2 linked regions of the Caenorhabditis elegans genome follow. The protein of the gene in region 1 binds, or shares a complex with, the protein of each later gene. Each region holds a gene or a part of one and is shown in the gene's direction. Other genes may lie near its edges.

Region 1 (8,628 bases):
GTTGGTGGAACAGACAATCCTCACTTTGTTGGAGATATCGGAATATACGTCTCATCAGTTAATAGCGAGTCAAAATCATATGGAGTCGTAAGAACAGGCGATAAAATTTTGTCGGTTAGTTTCCGATTAAAGTAATTATTAATTTAAATTGTTCCAATGTTTAGTTTGACGGTATCGATATGACCTACAAGACACACGATGAAGCTGTGGAAGTATTTCGAAGTGTTAAAATCGGTCATGTGGCTAAAATGTTGATTGATCGAGAATACTTACATCTTCAAGAAGATCGAACACAAACTCCAACTGCTTCTGTTTCAATTACTCCTCAAGTCACTCCACAGACTCGTAGTACTCAGAATAATACAGACACACCAAAGTCGATGTCGCATTCGGAATCAAAAAGCCGTTTGACGTCTCATGGACTTTCGGCTGTTATAGAAAGGTAAATTTTAAAATTTTTCTGAATTTATTTCTTATTGATTTTCAGAATTCGTGGAAAAGTTTACGAAGAAGAAGATGCTCAAAGTGTTACTTCCTATGCTCCTTCCACTCATTCCATCATTGACGATGTACCGAGAACACCACGTAAACCACTTAGTCTTTTGGATCCGAGAAAGTAAGTTTTATTAATCGGAAATTAAAAAATTCGCGATTTTTATTATTAAAATCTGACTGGACAGAAAAAAAAAATTAAATATTATTATTTGGTAAATAAATTTTTTTGGTGAAATTTTGGTAAATAAATTTGTCGAGAAATGACGAGAAATTCACTTGCATCATCCCATAAGCCTAAAAATTGAAATTGTATTGAAATAAACATTTACGTGTGAATTTAAATTAAAATATTGAGTAAAAAACATTTTGGGGGGGCAGAAATCGGAAAAGTACCAAATGATAACTTTCAGCAATTCTTGGCTAACCGAAGCTTTGTATGTTTCAATCGGTCTTGGAGCATTGACTATCTCTGGATACCTTGCCTACAGATTCATCAGAGGACGCCGTTGATCTTTTTCTCCCCATTTTCTGAATTAAATACTTGTAATATTAATTGTATTACCTCTCTCTCTCTCTGCTTTCTTCTCTTTTTTCTCGGTTTGTTCAATATTCAATTCAATTTTCTCTGTTATTCATCTGTTTCACTTCGTGACAATTTTTGGTGCTAAGTATAATGCGTATTATTGCGATGTAGAATAGGAAAAAAGTAAAATTCATAGATAACAATCCCACAGGTATAAAATAGAACTCCCAGCTTCTCGGTCAAAAAAGTTAATATTCAAATGTTCTTTACATTTTATCGACGTTTTAGTGCGAGTGGTGGGAATATTTTAGCCTTTTTTCTCTCTGAATCTTTCTCATTCTTCTCGCTCCATTATTTCGCACTAAGTGCTGCTCAAGTACCATTTCTATTCCGATTCTCTTTTTTTGTGAGCCATAATAATGAATATTGAACGTTTGTAATTTTATTTTTCTCCGATTTCAACACTGTCTCTTGCAGATTATTATATTTACTATCAAAATTTTTAGTTTTTTACTAATTCTTATTTCCAGAAATGATTCACAAATGAAATCAATGGATGACCGAACAGTAGGTCTTATATCTGCAAGTTCATCAAGAGCTTCACTCAAAATTCAACCGGAGATTGGTTATCCAAGAATATGTGATTATTGTCAGCCAATTATCGAGCTTATGACGGCTTCCGAGTTTGCACGACATATTCGACAAGATCATACGACAAAAGAAGGTGGTAGCTTTCTTTGTAGGTATGTTTTAAAAAATTTTGAAAAATAAAAATTCTAAATATAATTTTAAATCACAGTCAAGGGTGTCATCGAACATTTTTCGTTAACTATATTTTTTCAAGAGAATCGAAAAATCGAAAAAATAAATTTTTTCGATTTTCTGGAAAATAAAAAAAAACCATAAAATTACTTTTTTAAAAATCACATTTTGTTTATATTGATGAAAAAAAGAAACAATTGTGTTTTTTTTATTTAAAATTAAAAATCGAAAATGAAAAAAAAGTATTTTTGCTCAAGAAACTCAAAATCGAAACATATAAAATAAAAACTTTCAGAAAACTAACCATAAAATTCAATTTTTTAAATTTAAATTTGAAAAATAAACAAATTTCTTCTAAAAATAAGAAAAAAAACCAAAATTTGAAAAATTGAAAACCGAAATTTTTCGATTGTTCAAAAATCAATAACAAGATTTTTTGTTAATTTTGAAGAACGGTTTTATATTTTCTGCAATTTATCGTTTGAAATATTCTAATTATTTAGATACGGAGAACATGGAGTATGTCAGAAACTACCACTGGAAGGAGTATGTGATCTTGATTTTGAAGCCCACATTCGTCGTTGTCACACTTCTTCTCAACCAGCTGGATATTCAAGTCCAACATCTTCATTGGTAGCAAGTTATACTGAAGATAGTGAAGAAACAGCTAGTTTGAGAAGTATACGATTGACAAGTGATCGAGATACTCCAACAATTGAAAAGAAAAAATTCACTCTTCACAGGTGAGTTCGTTTTATTTCGTTTTCGAATATATTTCAAGAGAGAGAATCATGTAGATCACAGGAATAGGTTATTATTGGGAATGGGGGAACAAAAGGAAAAAAAAAGTGAGGGAAAAAGAGAAAAAGAAGATGATTAACAACCTGAGAGGAACAACTAATTTAAAATTATGAAATTAAGAACCAGTAATTGAAGTTTGATCGATCTAACAATATAGTCAACGTTTTTAAGCTCGTGGATTAGAACTGTATCCTTGTGCATTGCCTCCATCCTGAAAAATTATCAAATTTAAGATAATTTTAGTATAGTAAAATAGAGGTGAAAAGTGACTCATGTGACAGTGCTTGCCTTATCAAGAGATGCTTGACGTGAATTTGGCTTAGAGCCCATCTTCTTCGGTTGTTCCGGTGATCCGGCTGGGAAAAATTCGGCGAACGGATTCTCTGCCAATGACATCTTCTTTCTCTCAGTTCCGTTGTCAATTGTGAAGTCACCATCCTCGTCTCCCTCGTCCTGTGCATTTATTAGAGTGGAAACGTGTTTGAAAAGTTTTTTGAAGTGGAAAAGATTTGTGTAGGAAAAGTGTTCAAAAATAAGAAAGTAATGTGTTCTCGTGAATTTCAATGCACAGATGCAGTGTCTTTCGAGTGAATGAAAATAATTGAAAGAAATGAGAAGAATAAATCTCATAATTATTGAAAATACAAACTCACTATTTTTGCATTATTTCTTATTAACAGTCTAAAATGGGTTTCATTTAATATATAATAGTTCACTAAATATTTAGTTCCATATCAATCATTTCATTGACCTACCTTTTTATCAAAAGTATTTCCCTTCTTGAGAATTCTCTCATTAACAATCTTCTTTGTGAAGTAGGTGTAAGAATATGTTACGAGTTGGATAAGTGACAAAATCGAAAGTCCAAGCCACATTCCAATGGATCCTCCCAATGCAGCGATAAACGAGGTGGCACTATATTTCCATTGTTGTTCCATAGTCAGATATTCGAATGGACCCCAGGAAAGTTCAACAAGTGTTAAATCAGGACGAAGCATACGTCCTTTTACAGAGTGATCAACCTCGAATCTAATTTGACGGCAATCGGGGAAACATTTGTTGGCGCATTCTGTGTCAGAGTAGTTACCCTTTTGAACACTGAAAAATGGTACTTGAAATCTGAAAATATGTGTCTGGAACTTACTCGACAGTACATTGTGTATAGTCACACAATGGGAAGATTTCCATGTCTTCTTTTTTCGCTAGGTAACTTAATGAAAGTGGAGTACAATGACAAGCATCACGGATCATCTCCATACGGCAACGAGATCGGCAATTGAACTCACTGTCTTCTCCGTCTTCTACATCACGGCATCTTGTACCTTGTTCGTCATTTTCTAACATTTGATAGAGTGCAGTGACATGAGCTGTTACCTCGTGACGCTGTCCCAAACAAACCTGAATAATTGCTTTTGCATACACCGAACCATTATTTTTGTTTCTGGTTTTACCTCATCAACGTATCCATCTCTAGATCTACCCTTTCCTTCCATGAATCTGTTCAATGATGATGGTCTTCCATGGAAATCTACGGACATACAGTCAATTTTTTGACCTTCAGTATTCTCAGCGTTATGAGAAAGAAGCATGTCAAAGAACACTCCCTGGTCGTCAATAGTCTTAAAATTGTCTTGATCGAATTCTGGCTGGAAGCAGATTTGCATCTGGGAAATCCAAGAAATGCGAAGTTTCGTTTTGATCACAGTTTCATCATCATCAAACGTGCGTCTTCTGAATCTTTGCATTGAACGGCGAAGAACTTCAATTCCAGTCTTTTGAGTGAACTCATCGAATGTGATTCCACGAGAGTCGAGAATATCTCTCCATTTCTTGAACGTTTTTCTCTTTGCCGCAAGTCTTGGAGCGTTTTTAAACACGTGAATGGAACGTGCTGATCCATGAGCAGTTGTCTCTCTTTCCAAACTACTATATGTAGCAATCATGTCGTATGCTTCCATTACAAGTCGATAATCCCATGGAGTCTTCATAAATGCGTCGTGATCAGTCATATTTGCAAGATTTTCATCAACAACTGCATCCCACTCATCCGCGGGCGCAGTAAGATTCAATTTGAAATGGGACCAGGCTTGTTGTCGAGACATGCAGAAAGTAACATTTGGCATTGTCATTGATTCATTGAAAACGATGTTGATGTCCGATTCTTTTGGATAGTCAAAGTATTCCTCGAACTGTAAATTCGTCGTTTGAAATTAGGAACTACAATTTTAATTGAACAGAAGGGAAATACTAATGTGATAATGAGAGGTAATTACTTACCAGGTCGAATACATCTTTGACGGTGAGAACAGCCAGAAAAGCGACAATAAATACGAAGGCATACTTTCTAGCACGTCTTCCGAACAGCGCATCCTTCCATGAATGTGGTTTATCATCTTCTGGATGAGCTTGATTTTTTGGTATATCATGCATCTCGACGGACGTCTGATCCTTTACCTTGGCACCCATTCTGAAATGTAGAATTAAGAATGGAAGATGTAATTGAAAGAGCAGGATGTTTTTGAAAATTGACTATATAAATCTTCACATCTAACTAATTTGACACAAGTGTTTACTGAAAAATTGTGGCTGAAAAATGAATAGCCAGACAACCTGAAACATGACTTTCAACTGATGAGATGAAGTCAAGAGAAGGCGAAAAACGGGCGGGAATGACGCTCAGAACAGTAATTCGAATTATTGGTTTTGAGAGCGTTGGGAAAGATGGAAAAACGATGAAAATCGTTGGAGTAGGAGGGTCAAAGTTAGGTGATGGTCACGCCTTCTTCTTCATCTTAGTTTCTGTTTTCTACAGGCTATTCATTGGAACAAAATATCAAGACCAAGGAGTTGTAACCAGTGTTAACGTACTGTAAAAACACGCGTCAAAACCAGGAACTTTGAGAAACTAATATTTTGAAATAACTGATTGTAACATCAAGACGAACGGTATCCGATGGGACAAGAACCTGATTTTGGACAAACGGAAAGCAGTGGAATGTGAAAAAGAGAGACCTGATATCAACTAAAACCGGCATTATTTGGACGACGGTGTGTACCTGAATAGGGAAAAATGGTGATTTTAGGTCTTGAGGGATACCAAATGTTTTCCCTTCAATGAATTCCGAACTACAATTTTTTAAAAATCACGGGACGCGGAACTGATTTAACTACGTTAACTTTCAAACAAAACACAGAATTGGACGTTTAAATATATAAACATTTCTAGAGAATTATTGAATATCTATTACATTATCGTAATTCTAATAGACACGGTGCATAACCGAAAAGAAGATTGCGACATTTTTTTAAACTATAAAGTTATGTCTTGTGATAACAATCACCACACCTTTCGGATCGGATTGTGTCAAAATTGGAAAATTCTGTCCTCTACTATGTCCTCTAACTGTTTCTTAGTAGTTGCCATTTTCAAATTTTTCACTTCAAGTTTTTTGTGTAATCAATTGAAATTTGGAAATTCTGACACAGAATCTGAAGAATTGTTTCAACTTTTCAAGTTCTTCAGGTCATTTGATTTGATTAAAAAATGACTGAATGAGGTGAAACCTCTTTTTAATTTCATCTTTCCTCCCCCTACAAACATCTCTATCCCTATCTCTCTCTCTTTTTTCCAAAAACAGTGATTTTCAATTGACCAGTGGCAATTTAGACGTTGTCGCCGCAAAATCACTCGTTATCAGGCGAAGTAAGAAATTATAGTGATGGACCGGGACAGTCTTCAGGTAAAAAACGGAGAGAAAAAGAATTGGATGACCTTTGGTTTGAATTTGATATCAAAGGCGCAGAAATTGATGGTAGGCAAACGGGACACTCCATCCACTTAGAAATGGGCAAAATAGAACAGTGAAGCGAACGAGAATTTGATGAAAATAGGGAAAGGAAGAAATAACCTATAGATTTAGCGTAAACATGGGCAGAAAGTTAATTTATATTGAGACTTTGATGTGGAAACTAGGATAATTACAGTATTTCTTAAGTTGAAACAATTGACACTTCCAATATCTAAATTTTCAGTTTCACTCAAAATCTGTCAGCAGTTCTTGCCGATCCATCACGATCTCGAAGTGACCTAACAACGTTCTTCACACGCCATTGGGGTGACAGTTTTGTTCCAACACAACCGGTACCACAATCTAAAAGACTCGCTCGGCTCGCTGATTCGGCTTTCGATAGTTATTGTCAATCTGCTGGAGAGGTGATAAGATCTTTTATTTATTTATTTTTTTTATTTTTAAATATTTACAGTCCTATCGTCGATATCAGGCAATCAAAAGAGCTCTACGTTTGAGTCACGCCGATGGAGGAGTTGGAATTGGAGATGAAAGACAAGATGCGGAAGATCTGCCTACGGTATGTAGAAAAACGAATACTACCAAAAAAAATCTTCCTTTAAATGGAATTTATCTTAAACATGGATTACGGTCAGTAAGGAAATGAATGAAAACCATTCCTTTGATGCTAAAATGGCCAAATATCAGAATAAAACGTTTCAAAAATTTTTGACAATTATTTCAGTGAGTTTGTGCAACTTTTAAAAAAATCTAACGCACATTCGTATATTCGAACCCTTAAAATGTTGGAATAAGAATATTTTAAACCTGATTAGAACATAAAACTGGAAGCAAAAAAGTTTTTGATCGATGACTTCCATCCAAGTGGTAAAAAATGAATTTTCACCGCTTTTTGACTCAAAATAAAAAAAAAATCAAATTTTTTGCAAAGCTAATAATCATGATATTTGGCCGTTTTGGCACAATTGGAATAGTTTTTAACCATTTCTCTACCATCTAAACTCAACCTTTAAAAATTCAAATAACACAAAAATTCTAAAATAGAACTAAAAAAAATTGAATCAGTATTTAAAAATAAACGAACCTCTTAAATCTTCTTCTCCGTTGTTCTTCTTGATATGCTTTCTCATCTTCATAGATTGTATGACCAAGTGCCATAATCATGATTACCTACTTATTAGTTGTTGTAATTGACTTTAGCAAAATTGTTGGTCTCGAATTAATTGTTTGGTGTCACTTTTGTTAAAATTTCCACTTTCTTCTCGCATAATTGAAAATGTGGAAACAGGGAATGAAAATATAAGTAGCAAAGAATTTTGTTGTTAATTAATACTTGACATTCAGTAATTGAAAATTGAACCAAAAAACGTTAATTTTGATCAAACGCTTTAGAGATACTGATCGAATAGTGTTTAGGACAGAGCTGGGTAGTCGCAGTTGTTTCTGTTATACTTTTTCTTTTTTTTGCAATCACTTTACGACGGAGCGAACGAACAGCCGAAAGATAGATGAGACGAAGAGATAGAGAAGAATCGGCTCAGTGAGATATCTATTATCTGAATCACTTCTAGATTTCGTGTTTTCCTCCTGTGATCAAGTGTAGGTACTGATTGACAAATTGACATCTTGTTGGCACAAGTGGACACATCTGGTTGACCAACGGAAATGTAGGAAGATGCGAAACAAGTTTCTATATCAAACATACTAATGTAAGATTGGGAATGGATACTTGATAATTTTTCCAGAAATTGTTATGGCTGAATGATCAGTAAGCAGGAATAACTGGGAAAACTATTTCTGTTTTTAAAAATGTATTTTTACTTACTAGAAATATTTCCATTTATCTAGGAACACATTTTTCAAACAGTTAAAAAAACTTAGTTTGCTTTAGAGATCACATTTTTAATTTTTAGTTTTCAAAACGTCTGTCTTTGTATAACTTTATCCTATACAATCACCAGTAAGTATCTACTTCCTAGCCAATGCCCATTATTCCCACAATTCATTGAAAAAGTACGAAATCTGAGATAGACGTATTCTATTCGGTCAGCTGTTCTTTTACTATTATCAGCTAGTTTGTTTGATGTTTGTGATCTTTTCCGTCCCGTTTTTTTTCATAGAGTGAGGGTGGAAAGAGACAGCTGTCGGCTCTTTTTAAACGACGACTCAAAGCTCATTGAGCTCATGGAACGGCCGGAGCGCCAAGTGATCATGAAATTTCGAAAATTTTATTGTGGC
Region 2 (7,109 bases), on another chromosome or scaffold:
TCCCTTCACAAGAGGTATGTTGCGCAACACACCTGCTCACTGTGATATAATCTTTCTCTCTTCAGATTCTGTCTCGCGATTCGGTTACCGTTTCTGTTGACGCAGTTGTCTACTTCAAGGTGTTTGACCCAATCACTTCGGTAAACTAAACAGCTGGTACGGTTCAATCTAATTTGGAATTTTTAGGTCGTCGGAGTTGGCAATGCGACCGACTCTACCAAACTTTTGGCTCAAACCACCCTCCGTACAATTCTCGGTACCCATACCCTTTCAGAAATTCTATCCGACCGTGAGAAAATCTCCGCCGACATGAAAATCTCGCTCGATGAAGCTACAGAGCCATGGGGAATCAAGGTTGAACGTGTCGAGCTTCGCGATGTCCGTCTTCCATCTCAAATGCAACGTGCTATGGCTGCTGAAGCCGAGGCTACTCGTGATGCTGGAGCAAAGGTGAGCCGACATGATGAGCATAGCAAAATGCGGGGGACCAATAATTATTAATTTCGATTGCAATTAATTTCAGATTATCGCTGCCGAAGGAGAATTAAGAGCATCTGCCGCTCTTGCTGAAGCCGCCACCATCATTTCAAAAAGCGAGGGAGCCATGCAGCTTCGATATCTGCACACACTCAATGCTATCAGGTAATGGAAGCGCACTATCAACTTTTAACTAACAAAATAAAATTTCAGTTCCGAGAAAACCAGCACAATCATCTTCCCGTTCCCAATGGAGATTCTCGGAGGAATCAGCAAGGTTGGTTCAGGAGGCACATCTCAGAACTTTCCAGTTCAAGAAATGATGAATGCCGCCCTTCAATCCATTCAACGTCAGGATACAGTTCCAGCCACCGCATCTTCCTCAGGAAGCCGACTCTGATTCCAAGCAACGCAAAATGAGCTACAGTTTCGTCAAAAAACAAAACAAGGATCAACTCGAAGCATATTGATAATCTCTTTCCTGTTTGAAGTATTTTTTTTTAACTATTAAACTGTATTATTCAACTGTATAACACTTAATATTTATACTCGATTTCCACCTCATTCACTTCCAAATTGCACATATCGGTTGTCAAGGCATATCTTTGAGAGGTTGTCTGAAAGACTTCCGATTTTGCTCCAAATTTTTTCAGTCATTTTTCTCATCATAATAATAATATATATATGATTCTCCACGTTCCATTGTATTTTTCAAGTGTATTTTTCCAAGAAAATGAAGGAAGCCATATAGTTTAGAAATTTGTCTAATTTTTTGTAAAACGGGAAATATTTGAATCGAAGGATTCAAAAAGTTTTGAGAAATTTTTTATTTCGAGCCTAATGCGCTGAAAACTAGGTTTTCACCAATTATTATGAAAGTCTTTGATCAGAAAAATTCATATTTTCACTTATTTTTTCACTAAACAAAAATCCAAATTTCAATATTGTTGGGGTTTGAAGATTTAATAGTGTTTTAGATTTCTCGTAGCGAATTGTCAAAAATATACCAAATAGATAAATTAAATTCTCTATAAAAATTCAAAAATCCACACATTCTCATTTTTCCAATTGTTCTGCATAACCTCCTTGGCGAGCATTTTCCTCGCCTTCCTCGCACACAAGCACACCATTATTCTAAACACCGCGCGGGGTGTAAAAAGCGGAGCATCGTTTAACGACGTGTTACCAATTGTTTTTTCTTTGGTTTATCGCTATTTTTTATTTATTAACGTTAGTTATTCATCAAAATTTTTATTGAAACAATTTCAGCACAAATAATGCCTCGAACACGTGTCAACTTGCAAAAATCCGAGGCAAATGACCGTAGTTTCACAATATCGTCGCTAGAATTTTGTTTATCGCAATTGCGAAAAGCAGATCCGAATTTGGTGAAAAAAGCAATTGCTTCTGGTGACGGACTAACCGAGTCGAAAAGTATGTCTCTAAATGTCAACATTTGAAAAATCAATAATTCAGACGACGTCAGCACGCGGCTATCGGAGGCACATCGTTATTCTGTTCAACAGTGTCTTGATAACTCTGAGCAGTTGGCTCAACTCCATAATCAACTTGTGCATTGTGATAATGTTTTTGAAGTAAGTATATTGTAAAAATTGCCAATATATAAATCAGTCGACTATTTAATTAAACTTTTTAGCGCTTGCAAGCAACATTGTACAGTTTTCAAGACAATCTAGGATCAATTGGGCAGGATATGAAAAATTTGCAGCTACAGTCGCATCATATTCATCAAGTAAATTAATTTTCCAATTTCAACGTACTATAATCTTCTCAGGAACTGGAAAACCGGCAAAAAGTTAGAGTCGAGCTGAGCCAATTTGTAGACGATATTGCTGTTTCTCAAACGATGATGAAAACTATCAACGACACTGATGCAAATGACAGGGGTTTTTTGGAAGCGCTCCACGAGTTACACCACAAAATAACCTTAATTTTGCAAAGGGGAAATGGAGATGCGGTAGCGGTAAACGACACTATGCCGATTTTGGAAGGACTAAAGCTTAAGGTTGGGTGTTTTTTTTTTTACAAAAGTTTACATTTCAAAAATGTTTTTTTTCAGGCGGTTGTAAAAGTGAGGGAATGGTTGCTTCAGAAAATGTTCCAATTCCGTAAACCTCTGTCCAACTACCAAGTTTTTCAACACCAGCTTCTCAAATGCCGATTTTTCTACGAATTCCTGTTGCACCATGACTTGATCTCTGCCAAGGAACTTCAAGACGAGTACATTGACACCATCAGCAAGATGTTCTTCACGTATTTCAAAGCATACGCCACACGCCTGTTCAAACTTGCGGTAGGTTGAGACACATTTTTCAAGTATATTCACCAGAGTAATTATTTAAGATGAAAGACGTGGCCACCAAAGAAGACGCTTTGGGAAGTATTGATTTTGCAAAACCCGCTGGATTAGGCGCAATTTTCTCGTCGAAACAACACGTTGTTCGGAATAAGGCAACCGTTTTTTCGATTGGGCAACGACATCAAATTCTCTCTGACGACTTTTTAGGAGCCTTGATTGTTCCCCACGCAGCTACGCAGAACCATCAATCGGTATACCTTACAATAGAACTGGTAGGGACCAAATTAAATTATATTTTCAGTATCAATTTGAAGCACTATTTCGTTCTATTCAACTGGCATTTGTCGATCACTACAGCCATGAGTACCTCTTTATTACCGACTTTTTCCTTGTCAGCAATGATGAAGCCATTGAACTGCATAACAAGGTATGTTACGAGGACCTGGAAAGACCTAATATCTATTACGTAGTAATGTTACATTTACAATAGTTGTTTGCCTTTTCACTACCGGAAAAAAGCTTATAATTGCTTTCAGGCTATGGCTCGAGCAATGTCAGTTGTGCTCAAAAGCTGCGAGGAGCAAATCGCCCTTAGTTGGGACGCCATCAGTCTTCATCTGTGCATTTGTCTATGTGACAAGTTTACCGAAGTGCTCGCCGAGAGAGAGGTACCAGAAGTTAGCGATTATTGGAATACTGTCACAAGCTTCCTTTGGACCCGCCTCAATTTGGTCATGTCTCAACACTACGAAAGTGTCAAATCTGTTGATTTGAAGAAGTTGATGCATAGCGGTTCACTTGATGCAAGACCGCATTTCGTAAGTTTTTGATTGTTTTTTATAATCAAAAAAATTCAGATGTTACAGATAGTCCGACGGTACGCCGAACTGACAAGTGCACATTTGATGATAGCAAAAGCAAGTGGAAAGGAAATGGGTGCAAAGATGGAAGCTGTCTTGGAGAACAGTGAAGACTCTATTGAACAACTATTGACTCGAATGTCAGCTATGCAGCAAACTCAGAAAAATAAGCACGTCTTTCTGATTAACAATTACGATCTTATTCTTTCGATTATCGATAACGAGGAAAGCAAGCATACAAAGATTTATGCAATTGTCCATGAGCTTGAACAAAAAAGTATTGATGATTTTGTTGAAGAGATGCTAGAGCCACATATTGGGTACATGATTAAATTTGTCAACGAGTGTGAATCTCTGATTGTTCAAGGTCATACACAACTCTTAGTTCGATATAATGGCAAGTTGTCATATATAATTTTCTATTCTCTAATATTTTAATTTCAGACAAAGTTGGAACGGTGGTAGCAAACTTCAATGCAAAGTGGAGACCTGCAGTGGACAGTATTAATTCAGAATGCATACAACTTTTCACTAACTTCAGCCTGGGAACCACCATTTTACAGGTTAAAATTTATTTCCTAGAGCCGAATTTCAGTTTTAACTAGATGATTTCAGACAATCTTCACAAAGTACGTTCAGTATATCAATAGATTCACAAAGATTCTGTCCCATGACGTATTTGCTAAAAATCCCGTGTGTTCCCAGTTAGTCAACGTTCATCAAGTGATGCTCGAAATCAAACGGTTCAAACCAGCATATTAAGAAAAATATTGCCAATGTTATTTTATTTTCCCGTGTAGACTTTGTAAATTAAATAATTTATTGATTCCCACTTACTTGAGTATTTTTTTATATATATTTTTACCCACTGGCAGCTTTATGCATGCAAAAAATGTTGAATAAAATGTTTATATATTTATTTTATTTAAATAACCATTACATAGTATTTGACAAAAATCACATAATATCGAGAACACAGATTTGGACCTGACTGGAAGGTGGGAATTGAGACAAAAATACATTAATTGAAGTGATTAGGCAAATGCAATTCCTTCGTATTTGTATGGACCATGAAGAAGATATTCGTCAAGAATAACATTACCATGAATGTCGAAAACACTTGCATAACTTGCTACTGGTTTTCCATCCTGGAATACAATTTTATAAACCGAGCATTGAGATTAACGGATTTTGTTTTTAAAATTGTGTAGATAAAACCTGTTACTTACCTTTTCCTCCGACTTGATGGCAACGATGAGCTGGTGATGAGTGTTTGGCACAAATTGGAAAGCAGCAAACCCTCTGGATTTGTTATTCTCCGATCCTACTCGCACAACCTCAAAATCAGTCAACTCTTCATTTCCAATCACAAGAACGTTTGTTCCGCGGTTCTCGTCCTCCGCCTCAGAATACTTCTCATTTGACATTCTACGTGGAAGGAAGAACCATTTTCTGTGAATTGCAGACCATTGAACAGCTTCGTGAATCATGTATCCGGGATATTCGATCCCAGCAGCTCTACGAACGCGGATATATACATCCTTCCAGTTTTCGTGATGAACGGCTCCGTGAGCAGAGACATGCTTCACCCACATTGGGTGATCGTTCACATAAACTCCGTCAGTGGTCGTCCATTCTTTTCCCAATCCTCCAACAATCAATTCGGTATCCTTAACAGTGATCCATTCTCCTTTAAATCCCTTCACGACGTTTCCTGGCCCATCGTTCAGTAATACCCAGGGAAGTGCCTTCAAAACAATATTATATTTTTTAAAAATCAATCCACTACACAAATATCATTGTTTAACCACTCATCACTCACCTTCTTGTCACTAATTTGATAAATAAGACCTGTTCTATCGTCAATTGAGTACAGTTTACCATTGAAGACGGCAAGGTCAGACAACTCCATAGCGCGTCCACCGGCGGCAATATTTCTAAAATGATGATTTTAGTAATGAAGTCAAAACAAAAAAATCTATAAAAACACATTTTGTAAACTTACGTGTCAACATAGTACTCCGAGTCTTTGTCAAAATGAATATCGGCATGCTTGTGGTCTGCAGAAACCTGAAATATAAATTTGAAAATTTCCTATAGCGATTCGAAAAAAGCAAGTTGCATTTTATAAAAATCATATTGGTCAAGCTGAGCATAATGCATTAGTTTCTTGCCGTCCTTCTCACCTTCAAAAATCCACGAGAGACCAAACTTTTCCACTTCTTCCCGTCTTTGCTGTCATGATCCAAATCGGTGATCAACATTATTGAGTATTCTTTTGCTCCATCATCAAACTTCTTTACCGAATACAAGTTAGCATGGTTGATGTGCTGTAAATGGATATGTGCGCAATCAGCTGAAAATGTAAAGAGTTACCTCTTCCTGTTCGCTAGATTTGTTGAATTGGGTACCCGAATAAAAGGCAATAGCGGTCACAAACCCGAAAAGAAGGAAGTTGAAAAAGTTTGAGTTACTTTCTTGTGTCATACCTAAAAATTATTTTTGTGAGTCTTAATTATAAGCATTAATTGAAAGTAAGAGATTTGAGAAAATATAAGTAGAATAAAAAAATAAAAAATGGTGTAGTTTTCCGAGAGTACTTCACGGCCGCGTGGCCTAGTTTTTTCAATGGGGACTCGATATTAATAACGAACACAAGTGCGTGTCCCAAATTGCATTTGCTTTATTGAGTGAGATATCGTGGCTGTGAAGTGGCAAAATATTTCGAGAACCGTTAATTAAACAATTTTATACATTTTTAAATAATGAATTCAAAATGATGCAAAATAAATTTAAAAAAACGTACAACTTCTAGAACAACGAACAATTGAGCTGTCTCGCTATCATCATCTTATCATTTTTGCTATCAAAAAATCGGTTGTGGGTTGTCGTAACACATCACAGAAGAAAGATTGATTGTGAGAGAGCCGGACAACATTTGTGCTAGCGGTCAATGTCTTTCCCGCTTAACATGGTCCCAATTGTACGATTGACCAGGAATCGATATTTCAGGGAAAGAAGAAAATACCAACAAGACATGACGAGAACAGTATTTATAGAGTGTGTCTGAGTGCGTTGGAAACACACGATTTTTGTGCTTTGTAGTCAATTGTAGTTTATGTTGAACACAAAACGAGTTTCTGCTGCTGACCGTCTTTATAACGAGCGTCTTAAAAATGTGAGGAAAAGACAAAATGACAAGAAATGAGAAAACGATAACACTAAAGAAAAACGTTGATTTAGTTGAAAGAAAGAAATATGAGTTATATGAAAGAACCATATCGAATATACATTTTGAAGGACAAATATTGTTAAAGCTAGCCGATGTTGAAATATATATATATTTTACAAGATCTGGATAGATTTAAATACTAAATTAGAAAAATTTTAAATACTCAGGGGTTGCTCAGAATCGCGGAGTCACGTATCCGCTTGTTCTTGGGAATAAATAG

What was found. Proteins that work in one complex are often made in the same cells at the same time.
Region 2: vps-54 (region 1) and vps-52 share a complex: the UniProt entries of both Caenorhabditis elegans proteins name them as parts of the golgi-associated retrograde protein (GARP) complex.

What each region holds. Positions count from the first base shown.
Region 1 is NC_003283.11:10,569,340-10,577,967, reverse strand, and holds the start of vps-54 (Vacuolar protein sorting-associated protein 54), read left to right. Parts: upstream 1-1,548; 5' UTR 1,549-1,561; coding exon 1,562-1,761; intron 1,762-2,283; coding exon 2,284-2,523; exon of another isoform or gene 2,524-2,747; coding exon of another isoform or gene 2,748-2,792; intron 2,793-2,869; coding exon of another isoform or gene 2,870-3,034; intron 3,035-3,234; exon of another isoform or gene 3,235-3,244; coding exon of another isoform or gene 3,245-3,262; intron 3,263-3,336; coding exon of another isoform or gene 3,337-3,679; intron 3,680-3,725; coding exon of another isoform or gene 3,726-3,979; intron 3,980-4,032; coding exon of another isoform or gene 4,033-4,770; intron 4,771-4,858; coding exon of another isoform or gene 4,859-5,047; exon of another isoform or gene 5,048-5,054; intron 5,055-6,613; coding exon 6,614-6,794; intron 6,795-6,844; coding exon 6,845-6,949; intron 6,950-7,951; exon of another isoform or gene 7,952-8,088; intron 8,089-8,628. Other genes in the region: mics-1 (PDZ domain-containing protein), read left to right, coding at 1-114, 165-442, 488-616, 906-1,005; del-6 (Amiloride-sensitive sodium channel), read right to left, coding at 2,748-2,792, 2,870-3,034, 3,337-3,679, 3,726-3,979, 4,033-4,770, 4,859-5,047. UniProt on the Caenorhabditis elegans protein: Acts as a component of the GARP complex that is involved in retrograde transport from early and late endosomes to the trans-Golgi network (TGN). The GARP complex facilitates tethering as well as SNARE complex assembly at the Golgi.
Region 2 is NC_003284.9:7,563,577-7,570,685, forward strand, and holds vps-52 (Vacuolar protein sorting-associated protein 52 homolog), read left to right. Parts: upstream 1-1,746; 5' UTR 1,747-1,754; coding exon 1,755-1,911; intron 1,912-1,953; coding exon 1,954-2,072; intron 2,073-2,134; coding exon 2,135-2,230; intron 2,231-2,272; coding exon 2,273-2,503; intron 2,504-2,557; coding exon 2,558-2,791; intron 2,792-2,841; coding exon 2,842-3,048; intron 3,049-3,098; coding exon 3,099-3,224; intron 3,225-3,333; coding exon 3,334-3,615; intron 3,616-3,663; coding exon 3,664-4,054; intron 4,055-4,101; coding exon 4,102-4,220; intron 4,221-4,272; coding exon 4,273-4,419; 3' UTR 4,420-4,569; downstream 4,570-7,109. Other genes in the region: sto-1 (Stomatin-1), read left to right, coding at 1-14, 66-140, 187-450, 524-642, 691-877; Apyrase apy-1, read right to left, coding at 4,692-4,805, 4,887-5,405, 5,480-5,594, 5,663-5,727, 5,844-5,987, 6,034-6,144; Zinc finger protein unc-98, read right to left, coding at 7,064-7,109. UniProt on the Caenorhabditis elegans protein: Acts as a component of the GARP complex that is involved in retrograde transport from early and late endosomes to the trans-Golgi network (TGN). The GARP complex facilitates tethering as well as SNARE complex assembly at the Golgi.